4 linked regions of the Drosophila melanogaster genome follow. The protein of the gene in region 4 interacts with the protein of the main gene of each other region in a pairwise test. Each region holds a gene or a part of one and is shown on either strand. Other genes may lie near its edges.

Evidence for each region.
Region 1: the proteins of CG8159 (region 4) and Xrp1 interact in a two-hybrid assay, tested with the Drosophila melanogaster proteins (one large-scale study listed by BioGRID).
Region 2: the proteins of CG8159 (region 4) and CG10274 interact in a two-hybrid assay, tested with the Drosophila melanogaster proteins (one large-scale study listed by BioGRID).
Region 3: the proteins of CG8159 (region 4) and aru interact in a two-hybrid assay, tested with the Drosophila melanogaster proteins (one large-scale study listed by BioGRID).

The regions. Positions count from the first base shown.
Region 1 is NT_033777.3:18,913,084-18,917,994, reverse strand, and holds the start of Xrp1 (Xrp1), read right to left. Parts: upstream 3,028-4,911; 5' UTR 2,070-3,027; intron 1-2,069.
Region 2 is NT_037436.4:6,178,131-6,183,405, forward strand, and holds CG10274 (uncharacterized protein), read right to left. Parts: upstream 3,700-5,275; 5' UTR 3,638-3,699; coding exon 2,719-3,637; intron 2,665-2,718; coding exon 2,051-2,664; intron 1,986-2,050; coding exon 927-1,985; 3' UTR 547-926; downstream 1-546. Other genes in the region: CG7376 (uncharacterized protein), read left to right, coding at 1-77, 135-295, 352-514; D19B, read right to left, coding at 4,287-5,275.
Region 3 is NT_033779.5:861,316-867,591, forward strand, and holds aru (arouser), read right to left. Parts: upstream 4,547-6,276; 5' UTR 4,512-4,546; intron 3,746-4,511; 5' UTR 3,594-3,745; coding exon 3,562-3,593; intron 3,480-3,561; coding exon 3,083-3,479; intron 3,024-3,082; coding exon 2,880-3,023; intron 2,820-2,879; coding exon 1,248-2,819; intron 1,184-1,247; coding exon 1,004-1,183; intron 944-1,003; coding exon 851-943; 3' UTR 534-850; downstream 1-533. Other genes in the region: CG13950 (uncharacterized protein), read left to right, coding at 1-42, 114-381.
Region 4 is NT_033777.3:8,724,925-8,728,907, forward strand, and holds CG8159 (uncharacterized protein), read left to right. Parts: upstream 1-1,929; 5' UTR 1,930-2,003; coding exon 2,004-2,123; intron 2,124-2,185; coding exon 2,186-2,733; intron 2,734-2,801; coding exon 2,802-3,047; intron 3,048-3,106; coding exon 3,107-3,392; 3' UTR 3,393-3,446; downstream 3,447-3,983. Other genes in the region: ouib (ouija board), read left to right, coding at 560-679, 728-1,200, 1,264-1,609; ranshi, read right to left, coding at 3,528-3,642, 3,702-3,947.

The sequences.
Region 1 (4,911 bases), about 10 Mb from region 4:
CATATTTGTATGTAAGTATGTACTTTACCGAACCAAACATTGCAAAGTACATTTTAGTGAGACTAAGTATTCATGAGTGAGATATATTATAGGCATGAGTCATAATCGTTTGCTTGGGTGGACCGACCTATCACAATATCATTTCTATTAAATAATTAGATACATACATTTTGCACAATGAAAATAAATTGTATTTTTGACTTTCAATGCAAAAATATATAAAGACCTCTTTTTAAAATTAATGAATTTTTTTTATTAATATCTATTTATTCATAGGTTTTTTCATCAATATGTAAAAAAATAATAACAAAACTATTAACAATGAACGAGAAAAACAACTAAGTTTCCAAGTTTGCACAGATTTGACACTGTCAAGAAATTTTTTGCACAAAGTACTTAAGCTATCTTAGACTTATAGTTCATAAGAAATTATAATAACTTGAGGTAATTCTAATACTTTGCATGCATACCCTTAGCATTAATAAAATATTGCAGAAGTTTTTTCATTGAAAAAATAACTTTTCAAGATCATTTTGTTTTGGGATCTTATATTCTTTGGGTCAAGAACTTTAAACAAAATTAAAAACACAAAAGAACGAGGCATGAGAATGCATGGTTATACTAAATAATAATATATGTACGCATCTGTATGTATGTATGTATGTATGCATTAGCCCAAGGGAGTGATTTAGTTGGAAGTCTTTTAAATTTCAGAGCAAATGCATTCATTTTCTAGATTGTTTGGCCTTTAAAAATAATAGACTGTGAACCCCACGACAATCCAAAAATCGTTGAGATGTGAACTTGGGAAATTTCTTCACGTTCTTTCTCTTTCGTACAGCTCATTCGCCCACATTTGAAGAGAAGAGCTTTCTTGTCGTGGTATTAGTAAGCTCTCTTTGAATGTGTGCTCAGATAAAAGCTGTTGAATTCTCGAAATCGAAAAGCTCTGCGTACGTACGTATGCATGTATGTATAACAGCTTTAACTGATAATTTAGAAATCCATGAGTCATGCTGATAAATATAAAGCGCAAAATGAGCTTCAGCGGTTGGCAAAAACTGTCATCATGTGATATTTGTAATGGGCCTGATCTGCAGACACAAATACAATATAACCAAGGGGGGGGGGGGTCATTTTGATTATTTGCCCACGTCCTCTGATTTTAGCCCCCAAAGCTGAGGAGCTTAAATGCCAGTCCACATATGCGTGCAAAAATATGTGACTTTCAAACGACAATCTTGCGCAGCGCACCGACTGGCACGAGCTCTTGGAATATCGAAGACGACCATCAACAATGGACGCCCTCAGTTGGCAAATTAACAAAATAAATGGCCAACACGTAGCGATTCGTTCAATCTTTTCACGATGAGTGCGCATTTTTCGATTCCACGAAATGGGAATGGAAAGGTAGGGCGTTTTGCATGTGTAGATGAATAGCAATTGATCTACAAAGCCCCTTCCTTGTTCGATTTGATTATCTTATCTTATCACTTTTATCTGAAACGTGATCTACATATGTACATACAATATAGTGTGGTGGTAGCTAAAAGTGTATGACTAAGTTTAAAGTGATTTTTTGCAACAAGCAGTTGTCTGGCATATCCAAAAATGTGTTTTTTTAAGCTGTTTCGGTGTGCTCAGTCTCTAAAGTTTTAAATTAGTAAAGCCAAAGATTTTTGTATCTTCCCTACCATATATGCATGAATGTCTGTAACTCAACAGGTCACCATTATTAATTATTTAGTAATCATCCTAAAGATACAAAATTTAAGACTAGTTACTTAACTAATAATATAGAATAAGATATAAGACAGAATCCGGTTTAGAAACCCCATATAAATTTATTATTTTAAGCGTCACGTTTTCACATGTAATCAAAACACCTATCAAAACAACGCCCTACAAAAGTTCACGATTACTATAGGCCTATAGGTAGGTGGCCTCATCTATCTATGTATACTCGACGTGAAGTGTACCCAGTGTCAATGACACCGCCAGCAACAAAGTTGTGGCAACAAATGTTGCTGGCTTTGGGAAAATGAGAAATGTGGCCAGTAGTTGCTTACCCTCCATCATGTTGCTGCCACGTTGAGCAGGTTCCAATGATGACGGCACTAATATGATCTTGATCCTTGTTGCTCCTTATCTCCGGTGACTATTTGACTTATTCGAATCGGTTTCAAAAGAAAGTGCGGCGACTAAAGCGACGGCGGTTAAAGTCACGCTTCTTTCGTAGCAACTTGGAGCGTCGTAGGATCTTAGTGCCCGTAGTGCCACCAGTGCCGGTGCCGATCGTGGAGGTCTCGATATTGATTGAATTGTTGCAATAAAACTTATTGTTATGCCAGCCGCGCATACGCATACACATAAAGTTGTTGAGCATGGGAACCTGCTGCTGCGAATGTTGCACACACATGAAGACAACGACAGGCGAATGTTGCATGACGTTCTTAGGCGACGCGATGTTGGATTTCCCGCTTTTTCTCGACACTGCTGTTGCTGTTAGTGTTGCACCAACCGCAGGCAGAACGAACATAATATTGGGGCAAAATGCCTTTGAAGTGTTTTTCTCTTTTTTTTTCTTTTTTTTTTTTGGTACGGTCAGCTGTTGCTTCAGTGATACCACTTGTGTAGATCGGGCGTATGCTTAATGTACTCGTCAAGTGTTCGTGTTCACAAGCGCTTATCTATATAGCATCTAGATACAACTGTTATCTGAGATACCGAGATACGAAGTATATATAGAAATTGTTTGTTTAATTTTCGCCAATTTATTGCGTCTCTCGCAAATGTTTTTCAGGCTGTTAATCACTCTGAACTTTGCACTCAAAGTTGAGTTTATCTGGTACGTTTTACACGAAAAGAAATTACTGTTCTATGAATAGGATATCTTTGTAACGAGGTTCAGCGTTTGATGCCATTAAGATGGGATTCTAAAACACGTATCGAAAATTTCACAAATTCCACGCTGATTTGCACACCGAAAGCTCTGTCGTTTGCCTTGACTCACTGAATTGTTGTTCTGTTCGCGACGAAGTATTGTTACTAACTGACTCAACTGCGAGCACTGGACGGCAGCCGCTGGCCGGGGTTGATATAATTTTGCTGACGTCGTTGCCGGTTTCATTCACCGCTCCGTCCATATACCCTTTCCCCACCACCAATATATATTCACATATATTCACACACACGCGCTCTCTCAGCTGCTGTGTCTATTTTCTATGGCCGTGCCCCCAAAACATTTCCACGCGGGGATCTTTTTCTCTCATTATTTTTGTGATGCGGAGGATGGGCCACTCGGATAAGTGGGTGCCTCTACTTCTTAGATACTACTCTACTCTAAAACCCTTAGCTGGTTGAAAGCAGCTGAAAAAGGTGTAAACAATGCATTAGCATCAACTGATTTAAGTTCTGAAAAAAAAAAATTTCCATGTGCTATTAACTTGAGGCAAAGTATTACATACAACACAGTTAAGTTAATATAACAAAAAATATATATATTTTCAATAAACTGTGCAAAACGCAGACAGATTATTCATAGCCGTTCATATTATTTGGCTAGCGACAGTCTGAAAATTGCACAGATAGCATTTCGGTCTAAATTGGCTACAATAGATAAGAGAAGCTAAAAAAAAAGAATAAATTTTACTCTGCACCCAGATAATTTAGAAACGTAGATATTAAGGTTGTAAGTAATAGCAACTATGTTTGCTCACAAAGGGTTAATAAACTGGTATTTAATAAAAAGCCGCGAAACTTAAGTATAGTTCAATACTTTGCGTATTTTTTCGCGCCTAAATATTCATTTATATTCATATGATCATTCACAGGATTTTTAATGTAAATGTAAGTATTTATGGTTACATATGTCACCTATGTCCGCTCCAAAAGGTATAGGGCAACTGGTTTGGCAGCCTGCCATGCAGCAACAACAAACAATACAGATTCGCACTCTTTCTCTCCACGTGAGTGAAACTCTCTCTCGCTGGTTGAGATTGGCTGATGCAACACTTGCCACACGTTGCAACAGCTGTTTTAGTCTGGCCCAGCTGATTCGTATTGTTGGCTTGTTGCCAGAGACTGCGAAAATCTCTTGGCAACATGTTGCCACAACTTTTGGAAAACTCATAGTGTTGTTAAACATGTTGGGCGAAATTTTCACACCGGTGCAGGGCAAAAAGGGGGTGGCTTAAACTGTAGCTGGCTGGCTGGCTTAAATTAGCCGGCCGATGATTCATTTTGGGGGTTGTCCACTTACATAAGATGAGCTCACCCAATGTGAAAACTCTTTAGTCGCTGGAAGAAACTGCGCATTTCGACACAGAAAAGCCTAAACAAGCAGAACGAACATTTGTTTTGTAGATTTATAATTTTTCAAAACATACAATCGCATTGCACTTTGCGATTGGCCTTGACACCCTGACGTGGTTCCATTTGGCGACACTGTTCCTGCTTTTATCTTCTCCATGGCGCAAGATAAAATCAGAAAGTACAACGTGTTGATCACCTAATGGCCAGAGTCATGCAAACCAAACTCTTGGTGATTTAAATCTATTTCCATGTCTGTCACAAAAGAATACTGCTTATTATTATATGGCGGGTTATAATTTACCAAAGTACACAAAATGTTACAATACAATACAGTTGAATATATACTAGTTAAATGTACATATGTTTTATAACAGCTCATTGGCTGTGTTTTAATGGTTTATAAATGTAAAGTGTTTTTAAAGCATTTTAAATTTCAAATGAAACATTTTTTTTGTGGAAGTGCTGTTTTTTATACTGTTCAGATATATCTCACTGATATTTATGATGATTCTTTAATCGTATGACTGTACAGTACCCTCACACTTTAGTTCTCTGTATGGTGTGTTGACTGTAGTCAAACCGCTCCCAAAGAAAGTC
Region 2 (5,275 bases), on a different chromosome or scaffold from region 4:
AAATTGCCAGAGCGCTCAGTCTCAACGGCATTCAATTCCGCAATAAGTGCACAAATAAGGACTTTGATGATTTCAAGGTTTTTATCTTGCTGTTAAATTTAATTTATCACTGCTAAACATTTTTCCTCCTTTAGAATCCGTTGAGCAATGTTACCTGTCTACTAATGCCACTGTCCAAAGGCTCAAAGGGTTTGAACCTGATCGAAGCCACACATGTTTTCCTCGTCGAACCCATTCTAAATCCGGGAGACGAGCGCCAGGCCATAGGTCGTATTCACCGATTTGGGCAAAAGAGGTGAGTGCGCGCTATTGAAGTGAAGTTGCTGTCAGTTTCAATACAATTGTTTTTAGACCCACGAAGGTGCATCGTTTCATTGTGAATGAAACGATTGAGGAGAATATTCTATCGCTAATTACTTCAGCCGATGACACGACTACGCTGTCGACCCACTGGGATCTGGAGAACATGACACTAGACAGCCTTAAGAAGCTATTCATACTCAAGGAGGAGTAAAACTTATGAATTTAAAACAAAAAATTCCGATTAGATTTAAGCTCTTAATAGGGCAAATTTATTTTTTAAGCTACTTATAAACAATCTTTATATATAAATATATAACTGCCACAATCAATTCATCTATTGAAAAGATGATATTTGACATGCAACCTCTCCATTCAGACCAGAATCATTAAACTTAAGTCGAATTCACATAGGTATTCTGTGTTCTCCTGAATAATGTACAGTATTATTTGTACTACAGTTAAGGACATTATATTAAATAGTATTAAAGAATATTTTCAGCTTAAAACTATATCATATCCATCTTACACACACTGTTCTCATAAGGATTATAAGGTATTGCTTTTCATAAAAAAAACCCAGGATTGATTTACCATCTGTGACAGCGTTAAACGCTGGCCAAATCTCAGACATGATCGATTTTTAAAGCATCCAAAGTGGTGCCATCGGCATGTGCTTTTTGAGCGTAGTAGCCATCGTAGGAGCTTTGCGCCTTGTCAACCTCCTGCTGATGCTGCAACAGTTGCAGTTGCTCGTAGGCAGCCTCCTGAACCTTGCGGCGCTCCTCCTCCGCCAGTCGCTTTACTTCGTTCTCTTCAAACTGCTGCGCCTGGAGTTCAGCGGATGCCGCTGCTCGCTCCGCCGCTGCCTCCTGGTACTCATCGTAGGAGTGCAGGCTGCGGTCACTACTTTCAAGCTTGTGCAGCGACGATAGCTGCTCCTTGGCCGCCTCCGCAATTTCGCGCCGCTTCGCATCCGCCTGGCGCTTCGCCTCTCGCTTGCTGCGTTCCTGCTCTTCCAGCTCCTCGCGAGCGGCATAAAACTTGGGCGAAATGACGGGTGGACGGTTCTCGTGGGTGCGCTGGTGGCGCTTCAGCGCCGTCTCCTGGCGGAAATGGGTGCCGCAGGTCTTGCACTCAAAGGGTTTCTCGCCCGTATGAATCCACTCGTGATGCCTCAACGTTTGAGCCTTTGCGAATCTTTTGGGGCAAAAGCGGCAGGCAAAATCTTTGACCTTTTCGTGGATGATCTTATAGTGCCGCTTCATGTTTCCGATATTGTTGAATCCCTGACCACAACCGGGGCAGATATGTTTGCCCTCCTTCTTGGTAAAGTTCACCTGCGGCGACCACGACGGCACTGAAACAGAGGGTATGGGGTTCACAGCAGTGCCAGCCAACTGCGCCAGATCCACTCGTTGTACACGGCGTGGATCTTTGGGAATGGTGGCCACGGATTCGGCGCACACCTTAAGCAATTCGTCGGCAGCGTTTCGGGACATGATCGGCTCAATGGATATGCCCTCAACTGGTGGCGCGGGTGGATTGTCGAACTGTTCACCAGGCGTCTCGCCCATTTCCACCTGCCGCTGGCGGTAGGTCTCAATAGCACGAAGCACACGCTTCTCATGAGTCTTCAAGTGCTTGGTCAGACTCTTAGGATAGAGAAACTTCTTTCCACAAACCTAAGAATATTAAAAACAAAACGTTGCAATGACGACGCTGGCTTAAAATATCTTTCTACCCTTACCTTGCACTCACAGCGCTTTTCCCCCGTGTGCGTCATCTCGTGGATCTTGCAGGCGTGTGACTTGCCAAAGGTCTTTCCACAGTATTGACACGCATAGTTTTTGATCTTCTCGTGCACGATCTTAATGTGGTTGGCCAGGCTCTGCTTATTGTGCGATGCGTGCTCGCATATGTGGCACTTGAACTTCTTCTCCTGGGTATGCGTCAGTATGTGTGTGTTCCATTCCTGCCTGGTGGTTTTTCCCACGCCACAGTACGGACACACGTAGTTCTTAATGCCCGCATGCCGCATCAGATGATCCTTTAGAGCACTATTGATTACGAACCTTTTGCCACAGATGTTACAGGGGAAAGGCAACTCCTTGCCGTCGTGCTTGTACATGTGCTTCTTGAGCGCCATGGGACAGCGGAATACCTTCTCGCACTCGGTGCAAGGGTAATCCCGTGGGGGCGCCGCTGCCTTGGTGATGCCGTGCATCTTCTTCATGTGAAAGGTGAGCAGGCGTATGCGCGGAAAGGTCTTGCCGCAGCCATCGACATTGCAGGAGTGCACCTCGGATAGCTCCGTGTGGGCGTGGTCGATGTGAAGTCGTAATCCTCCAGCGGTGGTGAAACCTGTAAATGCCAGTGATCAAAACGAGAATGCGATTTGGAGCCATCATTACACACCTTTCCTGCAGGTTTCCACTTTGCACTGGAAGGGCAGCAGGTCGTTGTGGTGCTTCATGTGCTCTTCGTAGCGGATGGCCTTCTTGAACTTTTGGTGACAAATGTGGCAGTCAATGATGCGGTGCAGGTGCCGTTCGCCAGGCGGAATCCTCTTGCGTCGACTCTTTGACTTTTCTCCGTCCTCGTCCTCCTCTTCGGAGCCTGTTGGGAACTCTTGGTCCTCTTCCTTAATTACGGCTGCCTTTGCTTTTGGTATCATCCGCGAATTATCCCGTAAGCGCTGGGCCAAAGGCACATCATCGTCACCATCGCTACTGTTGGGCTCAAAGTCCACATCTTGGTCAATATCTTCTTCGCTCTCCTCCGAGGATTCCGCGGCAAAGATGGTCATCAGATCGGCGGCGTCCAATTCATCTTGCTTCACTTCCTTCTCCACCTGCTCGGCCTCCTTGTCCACGTGCTCCAACATCTTGAACACATCCTCCTCGTTCTCGATCATCTCCATTTTGTGATCCAGTAGCGGATCGAAGTTGATACGATCCTCCTCGTCCTGCCCCACCAGCTCAGGCTCGTTCCCCGCCACGTTGAGCAAATCAAAGTTTTTCATCTGCGCACTCGCTGGCGGGCAAAAGACGTTCCTGGCCACCATGTCCTGGAACTTTTGCACCGAGTCCACGCACAGCTTTTGGAACTCGTGCATATCGTCCAGCCGGCTGAAGCATTGCGCGCACAGACACTTGGGGAAGCCATCCGACTGCTCCACGGCCAGCGAAGTGCAGACACACAGTTTCTTGGCCAATCCGGGTATCAGGAACAGGTCAAAGGATCCTGCGCCGCCGCCATTCTCCGGCAGGCGATTCAGGCAGATGCGGCACACCGCGTGCACCGAGTACTGGGCTGCCTCGGCCTCCTCCTGCATGATGCCTGTTCCAGGGGGAATCTGCTGGCCAAATCCGCGGAATATTAAGCCGAGAAAAACTTTACGCGTCAGACGAACCAAAACAAATACCAAAAAATACCCCACAGTGATGCCAAGTACAAACAGTTATTTAATAGCTAAATTATTAAACCGGCTAGAAATATGGATAGCATCAATAACAAATTTCAAATGTTTTAAAAAATATGTGCCATTTTAAGTGTGATTCTTAATAAATGTATGTATTAACCTAAATTAAATACGTAGTTTTATATGTGTCTCATATAAGTTGCATAGCTAGTGGAATGTAGCTAAAAAACAGACGAGTTGGCAGCATTACAGCTCACCTCTGTCTTGTTTACCAACAATACCCGCTTACCAGCACTGGGGCGAATTTAAAATTCAAATGTTCAATACTTATTACTGTTTATTATATTAAATCATTGTTAAATGAATACAATTAGTAAAGTACAAACTTAAGCAGTTTAAAGGGGGGATTTAAATACAAAAAAGATCAAATTGCAAAGTGACGAAAACTAGTTGGTAATCCTTAGAGAACTATAACTCATATGTCCTTCATAGAAACACATAATGAAATGATCGGAAACGGAGGCCGGGTTTGCTCGCAAGCATTTCCGTTTGATTCTGCCGCTCAAACATGATCCAACTTCAGTGCGTCCACTGAGGTGCCCTCCGCCTCCGCCTTCTGCGCGTAGAAGCCGTCGTAAGTGTTCGACTGCTTCTGCAGCTTGTTTAGCTGCTCGAAGGCAGCCTCCTGGATCTTCCGGAGCTCCGCCTCCGCCTTGCGCTTGGCCTCGTTCTCCTCGATCTGGTAGGCCAGCAGCTCGGCGGTGGCCGCTGCCCTTTCCGCCGCCGGATCCTGGTATTGCTCGAAATTCTTCGGCTGCTGGCGCTTCACCGCGGTGCTGGACTCCGCCTTGGGTCCAGCCGGCTCCTTGGGCTTGCCAGGCGGACGGGGCGGCTTGTCGTGCACCTTCATATGCGTCTTGAGCACCTGCTCCTGCCGGAAATGCTTGCCGCACACCTTGCACTCGTAAGGCTTTTCGCCAGTGTGTATGTACTCGTGGTGCCGCAGGTACTGCTTCTTGGCGAATCTCTTCGGGCAGAAGCGGCAGCAGAAGTCTTTGACCTTTTGATGCACCACCTTGTAGTGCAGCTTCATGTTGCTCACGTGATTGAAGCCCTTGCCGCAGTCCGGGCAGATATGCTGGCCCTCCTTCTTGGTGAAGTTCACTTGCGGCGACCACGAGGGCAGGTTGACCGATGGAATTGGATTGGCCACCGTTCCCGCCAACTGAGCAATGTCCACCCGCTCGACGCGACCACGCAGGTGCGGACTGGGCTTGGCTATTGTCGAGGATCCACTGGCCCCGTCGCCCATTAAGGCATTGGTCCCCTGCGTCTTGGGCAAATCACGCTTCTCGTGCGTCTTCAAATGCTTGGTTAGGCCCTTCTCGAAGAGGAACACCTTGCCGCAGATCTTGCACTCGCAGCACTTTTCGCCGGTATGACTTCTCTCGTGAATCTTGCAGGCGTGCGACTTGCCAAAGGTCTTTCCGCAGTACTGGCAGGCAAAGTCCTTGCGCTTCTCGTGCACCACCTTCACGTGGTTGGCCAGCG
Region 3 (6,276 bases), on a different chromosome or scaffold from region 4:
TCGGACAACCGTGTCACGCAGCTACCAGCGTGAAGACAACAGGTATAAAGGAGTCCGAGACTCCAATATGCAAAGTTCCTCCAAGAGAATTCACCTTTACTCACTTATTCTAGTTTTGCCTTGAGCGACGAGGAGACCGAGGGCGAATTCCCATTTGTGCGCGGAAAGCTCTTCAAGATCGCTTTTGGGCTCGGGGATCGGGCTTTCCTGATCGCCGTCAACGGGCAGTACTTCACCTACTACAACTTTCCCGGACGCCCCTTCTCCATATCCACTCTGAAGTGCTTCACCAACGAAGTGGGCGACTTCGCCGTGCGGAGCCTGGAGTACCACTCCGATTCTCCGCTTCTGGCCCGCGTGGAGAAGTTGTCCATCATTTAATCGATTCGAGTTCTCGTAGTATGCTCTTTGTTCAATCGTTGGCTTTGATCACCGTACAGCACCAGTTAACTTCTTCTTGTGAGCATCCAAATAAAGCAAAGCAGCTCTCCAAACTACAATCTCCTCAATAATCATCAACCAATAGGCAGGTTCCTTTGGATATAATTTTATTAAAACAAATTATTGCCGTCGCCTCCCCTTTTCGCCTGGATGAGCATCAGCTTAAGCATCCGCCTCAGCAGGAGCCACGTGCTGCTCAACAGCTCCCGTCTGGAGCTCCACTTAGGTTAGTCTTAAGGTTAGTTCTGGTTTGCACACTCCTGCGAGCGAGTGCAAGGTATTGGAGCCAATCCGATCGCTAGTGACCAGGACTAGCATCCTAGACGGAACTGCTGATGTCTGTCTCTCTATAACGCTAGATCCTCACTACGGAATATGTGTATATGTATATGGTGATCGCATCTCGATCCTAGAAGTAGCGGAACTCGCCCTTCTTGCCCAGATGCTTGCTGCGCATCATGTCGGTGGGATCCGGCGATCGCTGTTCCATGCCGGGATTATCCTGGGTAATGTAGAGCGGTTAGCAAGTCCCATCATGAATTGAGTGACCAGCCTTACTCACCCCTGATCGCGATTTGTTGCCCGGACCTGTGGGACCCGTCGGTGGCTGCTGCTGTTGCCCGTAGAACTGGGCTCCATCTCCATCCCCGAAATTGAAGGGGGTTACAATCGTGTGCGGCACGTGGGCCACCTGACCCCGCATGTTGCGCGCCTTCCACCACTTTCGGGTATCATCAAGGATCTAAAGTTTCGAAGAGATGGTTATAGGACAGAACGAAGGATGGTAACGTGGGTGCTGGCCTTACCTCCAAGTATTCGCCTCGCATCACGCTAAGCTCCTTGTCGTTGTTGGCGGTTCGCGGATAGGTGACCAGCACAATCTTAGCGCCCGTCGCCTGCAGATCCTCCAGCCAGGACTCGAGCATCTGGTCGTCGCTGACATTCGGCAGGCCTCTGCCTCCACCGCCCAACTCCGACGAAGGCCCCGGACCAGCTCCTGCTCCGTACCCGTTTCCACTGCGAGATTCCCTCGTATGCAGATTCTGCAGACCAGCTGTGATGGCGCTAAGGGTTGGTCCAGCTCCTGGTCCGTGGCCATGACCATGGCCATGTCCCGCTGCTCCGCCGCCCCTGCCTTCGATCGAGTCGAACGACAGCTCGCTGCGGGCGTTAAAGTCAGACGCACTGATTGCGCCCGCCCGCTCTCTGTCGCGCTCCCTTTCCCGCTCCCTTAAACCGTCGTTGCCGTGGTGGATGGTGTACTTCTCGATACCCATGGCCATGTTCATCCCGTTCCCCGAGTCGTAGTCATCGTATCCGCCTCCCCCACGACCATTTAGTCCGGATCCAGCCTGGACCTCGAGTCTGCGCTTGCTCACATGAGCGGGCGGGGAATTTGGTGGTGGCTCCAGTTCATCGTTGATCAAATAGTCCGGTGACCAGCCATCGAGGAAGACCGGATGGTAGGATCCAACGTCATCCTTCCACTGATCTCGCGGGATCACCCAGGCATCGCCCAACGAGCGCCACAGCTCCGTTTCCTTGCTGGTTACACAGTTGATGAGCAGGTTGATGGCCTCTCTGGTCAGCAGGGGATTAACCACACGGGCCGGTAGCTGTGACTCGTAGTACGTGTCGCTGGAGGCCTCCACAATCAGAGCCAGCGGCGTGAAGAGGAAATGCACCAGTTCGGGAGCGTTGGGATCGTGGATGTGCGCCTTCAACTTTGCCAGCAGGTTAAATGACAGCTTAAACTTGGCAAAGATGTCCACGAACTCCTTCTCGTGGGGAGGCCGTGTCCTCAAAGTGAGCAATCCCTCCCCCGGATCCCTTTTCTTCGACTTCCGATTGCGACGACGGCGCTCGAGCTCCCGGGAAGCGGCGGCGGCGTGCTGAAGACGAGCTATGAACTTCTCGATGTCATCGAAACAGTGATTCAGCACAGCCACATCCCGCTCGTACTTCTCGCTGGACGTGGAGCTAGTCTCATCGCGCTCCGTTGCGCCACCGCCCCCAATCCCACCGTGTTCCGAATCCGTCTCGCCACTAATGTGGGCAACGTCATCGCCAGAAACTCCTACTCCGGCACGGATTCCATACTGTTCCATGCTGCTCCTTTGGTGCATGTGATGGTGGCTTTCGCGCTCACGGTCTCGATCACGCTCCCTCTCGCGCTCTGCCCGCTGCTCCCTGTGCTGGTGCAGCTCCACTCTACTATGCGACGAGGACGAGGAGGTTTTGCTCATCATCATGGCCATGCTGGAGGCTCCTCCGCCTCCTGATTGAGTGGGTGTGGCACCGCGCTGCTGCGTTATCATCTTGCCGCTTCTCAGCTGCTTCAGATCCTCAACCAGGTGAACGGCGGACACACTTTGTGACTGCAGGGATAAATCATTTGAATGAAACTGTCATGAGACAGAAGCCTCACTAATTCTCACCTGGAATATGTGCATCTCGGAGCGAGAACCACCGCCTCCGGATACGATAAAGACCAGAATGTTGTTGTATAGCTCCATGGCGTCATTCGAGGTGAATGCGGTGGGCTCCTGAACCAAGGAGGCGGGGAATCTTTCGATTATGTTCTGTAAGGCAAGGATGAAGATGAGTTCCATAAGGATCTTTCCCAGTTTGTGAAACGTACCCCTGTTTCATAGTCCATAATTAGCACCCACTGATAGTCCAGGCAGAGCTGCATCTTCTGCGACCAAATACCCGTGGTCTTCTCCAGCTGAAGGAGGCGACGCATTCCGTCCGCCGGATACACAATGCCGGACTCCTTGTTGACCGTGAAGGTGGCCAGGTGTTCCAGCAGGTAGGTGGGCTTGTCGTGCAAGTCACTCTCCAGACGCTCCCGCTCCTCGCCGCCTCCGCTGCGATCGTCTCCGGAATAGTCTCCTCCTCCGCCGCCGCCTCCATGGGCACCGCCTCCTCTTAGGCTTCCGCTACTGTTTCCAGCACTGCCGCCTCCGTTCGAGTGGTGGTTCACCATGGTGTCTCCCAATCCCGGTACAGGCTTCGATCGACGTCTGAAGCTCCGTCTAAAAATAAAATTTTTTCACATCATCATCATCGTCAACAATTTTGTATATCGGTCTTTGATTCGTTTAAAATATAAGTTACCGTTTAAATGATGAACTTAGTAGCTTAAACATTGATTAAAAGTTTTGATCGTTACCAACTTATACTTTTGCTTCTTAGGTCGAGTTGAACTATCGTCATTTGAAAATAATATTTAGAATTATGTGTATGCTTTTAATAATCCCATTTAATCGCTTATTCCAATGACTAAAACATTATATCGTGACTGCTGTCGAAAAACATGTTTAACTTGATTAGAATAGTATTCCCAAAACTAAATTTCCTATTGGCAGGGGTGTGGTTAAGCCCCTTGGAAGTCTGGTTCCCAATTTGGTCTCTCAAGACCTTAAAGCCTCCGCTGACCGAGTCTTCGAGCTGAAATCTTATGAGTGTCGAATACGAAAATTGGTCCTAAAGTATGTGTTAGATCATTATGCTGTGTTTATTTTGTGCAGCTGAGACTAAGTCCCTCTGCATCCGAAGGCCCCTAATCCCGCCAAGCCACTTGGATATTGCGCAGCCAATCGTCTCTGACTCAGACCGCATTCCGATTCCAAGCCTCCACTAGCGTTGGCATACACACTCCAAGCGATCCGCACATGGCCGCAATTATTCTCAAACTTTAACATTTCGTTGTTGGCTTGGATCAGCATTGGAATTCAAAAATCGCGCTACTTCCACTTCCCCAGGTTCTCCTCTAAGCTCGGTGTCTCCACTTTGACTACACAGAGAATATCTTTGGATAGTTTACTTCCGATTATATTCATCTTATTTGTATTAACAGCAGCAAATTGTATTGCATTGTAGATGTAATAGAGAGTAATTGTAGAGTAATAGCTCTTATCTTCAAAAATTAGGCCAACTATGGTTCTATGTCACAGTAACATTCTTTTCAACACTCGGATAAATCTCTCTTATTTTTTCTGTGTAGCCAGTGAACACACCTGCAAAAGACACACACACACACGTAAAACTGAGATTTGCAAACACACTTTCTCGCTCCCTCTCGCTCTAACCCTCGCAGACTCTATCCAAACCGCTCCCTCGACTCAAGTGACAGCAACAACTTTTCCGCTGTTTTAGGCTGGGCTCAGACGCCGACTGCGACGCGGGCAGCGGTGTCGCATACCTATCTACACTAAGCAAAAATCGCTACTGTTTTTATAAAGATATTGAAAATCATTATAATAATCCTATGGCGAGAAAGTCTCTAGAATGTAGTTCTAACCATTTTTAAATGTTAACAACATTTTCCATGATAGAAACACCCCCAAGTTTGTCGATTGTTTTCAGTGTATCAATCCAGCAGTGTCGCAGGGTCAATGGACAGGGGAAAGGGGGTGTTGGGTGCTTGTGTACTTGCAAACAGGTGAAAGAGAAACTGCAGAGGGGGTCAGCTGGAGGCACTATCTGCTTACGATCTTGTACAAGCCAAAATCGCAGTAAACAAACAAGCGAAGTGCACGTAAAAAAGAAAACACTGACCCACTACACCCCTGGAAATGTTTTGTTTTCGTTAAGTTGCGCCGCTGTGTTATATTTCAGCGTTTTACTGTTCGTACAAGCCCCAAATTGCATCACACTTGTGGAATTTGACAGATTTGTGTTTTCGCTCCTAACTCTACAGCAGCTTAGAGGCCAATGACGAAACGCGATAAACATTATCGCACTTGGGTAACATGGAAATAGTTGGGCTTGCATAAATCATGCTTTAGAGAAAGTACTAAAGCTGCTGGGTGATTTGAAGTTAAGTTAAGTCATCATAAACATCTACAAAAACATTATGCTAAATGAAATACATATATGTTTATAATATAAGTATTACTACTTTTGTACTTCTATAATCTTGAAATATTTGCAATCCACACATATGTATCTATGCATCTGTAAATAGGGGAAAATTATAAGCCTCGGTAAGGCAATCTAAGATACATAACTGCACTGGTATCTAAGAACTCCCCGACAAGAACCATAAACCTGGAGACATGCCCCAAGCATAGCTTCCATTCAGGTGAAGATAATTAATTGGGTCCTGATAAGCGTGAGATGGGGTGTTAGAGCCTCAAATAATTCAGACAGCTGGGATTTAGATAAAACGGCGGCGTGCGGTACACTTGCTTTTTTATTTTATCTCGCATACTTTTTGGTTTACGAAGCAAATGGCAAAACAACAAATGACAATAGTTGTTTTTGCTGTTCTTTGGGTGGAAACCCGCTCGTTAGATGGTGGTGGGCTGGAGGGGGGTGGAGAGACATCGACACCCCGATCCACACTATTGTCGTCCCCCTCGCGCGCATGCGTGGCAGATAAGCTGACGTCTTTGCTTGCGCTGGTGTGTGCGGCTTGAAAAGGTATTTGTCTCCGTGTCTCGAGCCCCCCGGCACCCGCCACCCCCTCGCCTGTTGCTGCAACTTTAGTTTTTGACCGACCGCATTTTTTAAGCTTTCTTTTCCACCTGTTTTCCGTTTTCCTCTCTCACTGTGCGCTGTTTATATTCCACGAGCCTCTCTCAGACACACACACACACGTCGCCTATAAGCCGCACTCACACAGGTGAGGCTTCACAGTAATGTGCGAGCGCGGATATACAGTGGACCCTCAAATAAGTAATCTAATTGAAAATAACATCCTTGAAGCTCTTTAGGCAATTATTTAAATTAATAATCTAACCAATTTCAAATGATTGAACTTAGTATATGTTCCAGATTTCCCGCAATCGAGTATTACTTCACCGACGCATTACTGTATGTACAAAA
Region 4 (3,983 bases):
AAATTTTAGTTTTTGCTATTTTTTTTTGCGTAATTTACATCTGCATTGCAATTGCTTCCTTGAATATAACAAAAGTGCCTATATAGTCTTATCTTATACATACATACTTTATTGGGCTAGTTTTAAAATAAAATATATTCAGACATGAGGTACAAAAATGAACATTGAATTTAGAATCAAATCTTTTTCGAAATACATTTTACGAAACATTTTACGTGGATTATTTCGATTTACCGAAACAGAAATATGAAGCTATATGTTTTGTTTTCAAAAATTGATCCTGCGCATTATTAGCATGCAGGTCGTACTTATTTCAAGCACCCATGAAATGGTTCAGCTTAACGATTTGACCAATATTATTTACACCTATTATTAAGTTTTAATATTATAAGCAGTATCTGTTTTATCAGACTGCTCCAGTTGTTAACAGATCAATAGCTATTTAAATAAAGATTTTGACTTTCAAAAATCCCCGCCTTGAATGAATAATTTATCTGGTTTGCCTCAAAATGTAATCACCATACAATTGCCTTTCCATCAGTCGAGTTTAGTGATCGAGATGCTGAACATCGTGTGTAGAGTCTGCGGAAGGCAGAAAATCTGTGAGAAGAGCCTGAATCTCTTCGATTTGGTCAACCGAAAATATCTAAAGCACTTGCACATGATAAGCGGACTAAGAGTGAGTTAAAAGACGTTTTAAAATTGAGATAAATAATATCAGCACCAGTTGGTGGATTTGGACGATGTTCCTGGTTTCATGTGCCTTTGCTGTCAGGCGGAACTCAGATCGGCATTGGCATTCCGGAAGCTTTGCATTAAGACCCAAACTAAATGGCTAACCATCGAGGACGACTCTTCGTCGGGTGATGAAGATACCAATGACAATTCGGAACTGGAATCGGAAAAATGCGCATTCAGCGATTTTGGGAAAAAGAAAGAAGGCGAGTTGGTTGAAGAAACTTTTCAGGTACTGATTGAAGAGGAGCCCATGGACAAAACTCTGAATAGAGATGCGAAAGCGCAGCTGAGGGAAGATGGAATAGATGAGAAGTGTGTACCTTCACAAAAGATTATCAAAGTATCAACCAAACTGGATGATCAGATTTACATATGCGAGCTGTGCGGGACTCATGCCACATCGAAACCCACTTTCCAGCGCCACATGAGAAAACACAGAGGCGAACGACCATTTGGCTGCAAGTAAACCTCGCTCACAGATTACAACTGTAGGTTCGGTATGCTGATTCCATATTCTCTTTTTAGGGATTGTGATGCCAGGTTTCTCTCTGCTGGCGAACTACGTGCCCACCACCGGGTACATACTGGGGAGCAACCGTTTGCCTGTCGCTTCTGCGAAAAGCGGTATGTCAGCTACATGGGCCGGCTGATCCACGAGCGGACTCACACCAACGATCGACCCTATGTGTGCGAAGAGTGTGGCAAGAAGTTCACCACTGCCTACGTCCTAAAGAACCACATGGTCATCCACACGGGCGAGAGGAATTTCCGATGCGATATTTGCGATCGCTCCTTCCAGAGAAAGGCGCACCTGGTAACGCACACCAGATCCATGATGCACCTCCAAAATGTCAAGAAGCAGAAGTCATGAAGGATTAAATAGCTCAAGCTATGAAATAATAAGATTTACATGCTCCTTGAGATAAAAAGATACCCAAAAGGGGACTATCTTATTTTTATCTTATCGTATTTTTATGAATTTAAGTTGTATACTCAATATTTGCACCACACCTGTTTCTCAAAATGAAATAAATGCTAATGCTTTTAAGTGTGTAGGACACAGAAAACAAAAAATTTGTATAGATTGTTTGATTTTAATTAGTAGCAGCCGTTACGATTTAGTGGTTTTATAAGTCGCCAGTGCTGGACAACGTCTCAGGTGGAAAAGCTAGTGCGCTGCTTCGTGGCAAATGGCAAATCAGTTTTGGGTGGCTGTCTTGTTTACAATTGGAAATTTACTAATTAGAATCGAGTAAGCTGGTAAAATGCTGCAAAATGTGTGCCGCGTGTGTGCCAGCAGCACGGACAACTCGAAATCGTTGAAACTATTTAACAGCGGCGCCTGCAAAGTGCTGCAACAAATCAATTTGCTCACCGGTGTTCTGGTAAGCCTACCCTACGAAACACATTAATTCCTTCAATTAAAATGTTGTATCTTATTTGGCAGCTGCAATGCGAACCCGGTTTACCCGACTGGATGTGCGAGACCTGCCAGACGGATTTGAAAAGCGCCATATCCTTTCGTGATCGCTGCTTGAGGAGTCAGAAGATCTTTGAAGAGTCGCTGGTCAGGAATGAAGAGGACACATTCCGCTCCTCAGTTCGTCGCAGTGCCCGTTCCCAAAGACAGCGGCATGAAGACACCGCTCCAAAGACGCCAGCAAGTCCGCTGGAGGTAATGATTAAGCTGGAGAGCCTGAGCAATGGCGATGAGGAGGATGATGGCATCGATCACCTGGACTCCTGCAACGAAGCAGACATGGAGCTGGCCATTAAAGCGATGTCCAGCTCTACCGAAGATGATGGAACTACCTCACCGGTCAGATTGAAAAGAACCCGACGTCGGGGACTTAAGAAAGGCGGGAAAGGTGAAAATCGCACAAAGGTTACGCTTCCAGTTTTCTTTTGCGATCAGTGCGGCAACAATATTACAGGGAAGTCCTCCTTCGACCGTCACCTACGCAAACACAGCGGAATTAGGCCCTTTCAGTGCGAGTAAGAAAAGCTTTAGCTCGTCAATTGTACAATCTGATAGTTAACTGTGTAACATTGCTCTCATGTAGACTCTGCCCCGCCCGCTTCCTGTCCTCCGGTGAGCTGAAAGGACACCAAGTGATGCACACTGGAGATCGCAAGTTCCAGTGTCGTTACTGTGACCGCACCTACGTCAACTACAGTGGTCGCCTGCGTCACGAGCGGACCCACACAAATGATCGACCCTTTATTTGTGCGCAGTGCGGCAAGAGCTTTACCAATTCCTACATCCTCAAGAACCACATGCTTATCCACACGGGCGAGCGCCTGTTCAGGCTAGTAAACTATGATAAATAGTGCTTAAGTTAATGATCACCTAGCCGATCCTTTGCAGATGTGAGCTGTGCCATCGATCCTTTGCGCGACCCACCCACTTGAAGACTCACTTCCGCTCTAACACTCATAAGCACAACTTGGAGAAATCGATGGCAGACGCGGGTGGAGTTCAGCTGTCACCATCCCAGTCAGCGGATCAGGTCAAATTCGTGACGGAAAAGGAGCCAGAAGCAGAGGCGGATGCCTTTACGATAGAAGTGCCTTTGCCCGCGGAGCAGGAGCAGGATGAGTCTTTGGGCCTGGCTGCTCTGGAAACATCCACTCTAATGTATAGTACAAACTAGACCTTAATGAGTCCATCTCAACCTTTAAAGCCAAATATAGTTCACAATTTGATTATCCGTTTTGATTTTTTTTGTAAAAATTCCTATTTTGGTAATGCAACCGTTTTCAACTAAGAGCTTCTTAAGTGATACCTTTTAGGGTTTATCAAAGATTGTGTCTGCTTTCTGCATGTTTCGTCTGTGAGCATTTGAACGATAATGGGTAGTAAGGTGTGTGTAGCGACTGAATAACTTATCGCAGAGGTCGCACCTGCAAATAGAATAGATTATTATTATTACACTTAAGTACTATTTCGAGTACCCGCTTACCTAAAAGCCTTCTCCCCGGTATGCACGAGCATGTGGTTCTTAAGAATATAGGATGTTGTGAAGGCATTGTTACACTCCTTGCAGACAAAAGGTCGTTCGTTAGTGTGAGTCCGCTCGTGCTTCAACCGAGTGCTGTAGTCAGAAAAGCTGCGGGAACAGTGTCTGCACTTGAAGGGCTTTTCCCCGGTATGCTTGCGAATGTGACGCTTAAGTTCCGCCGGCGTGCAGAAGCGATCCTCACAGAATCTTAAATGAAGCGGATTAGTTAGGATCAATCTTAAG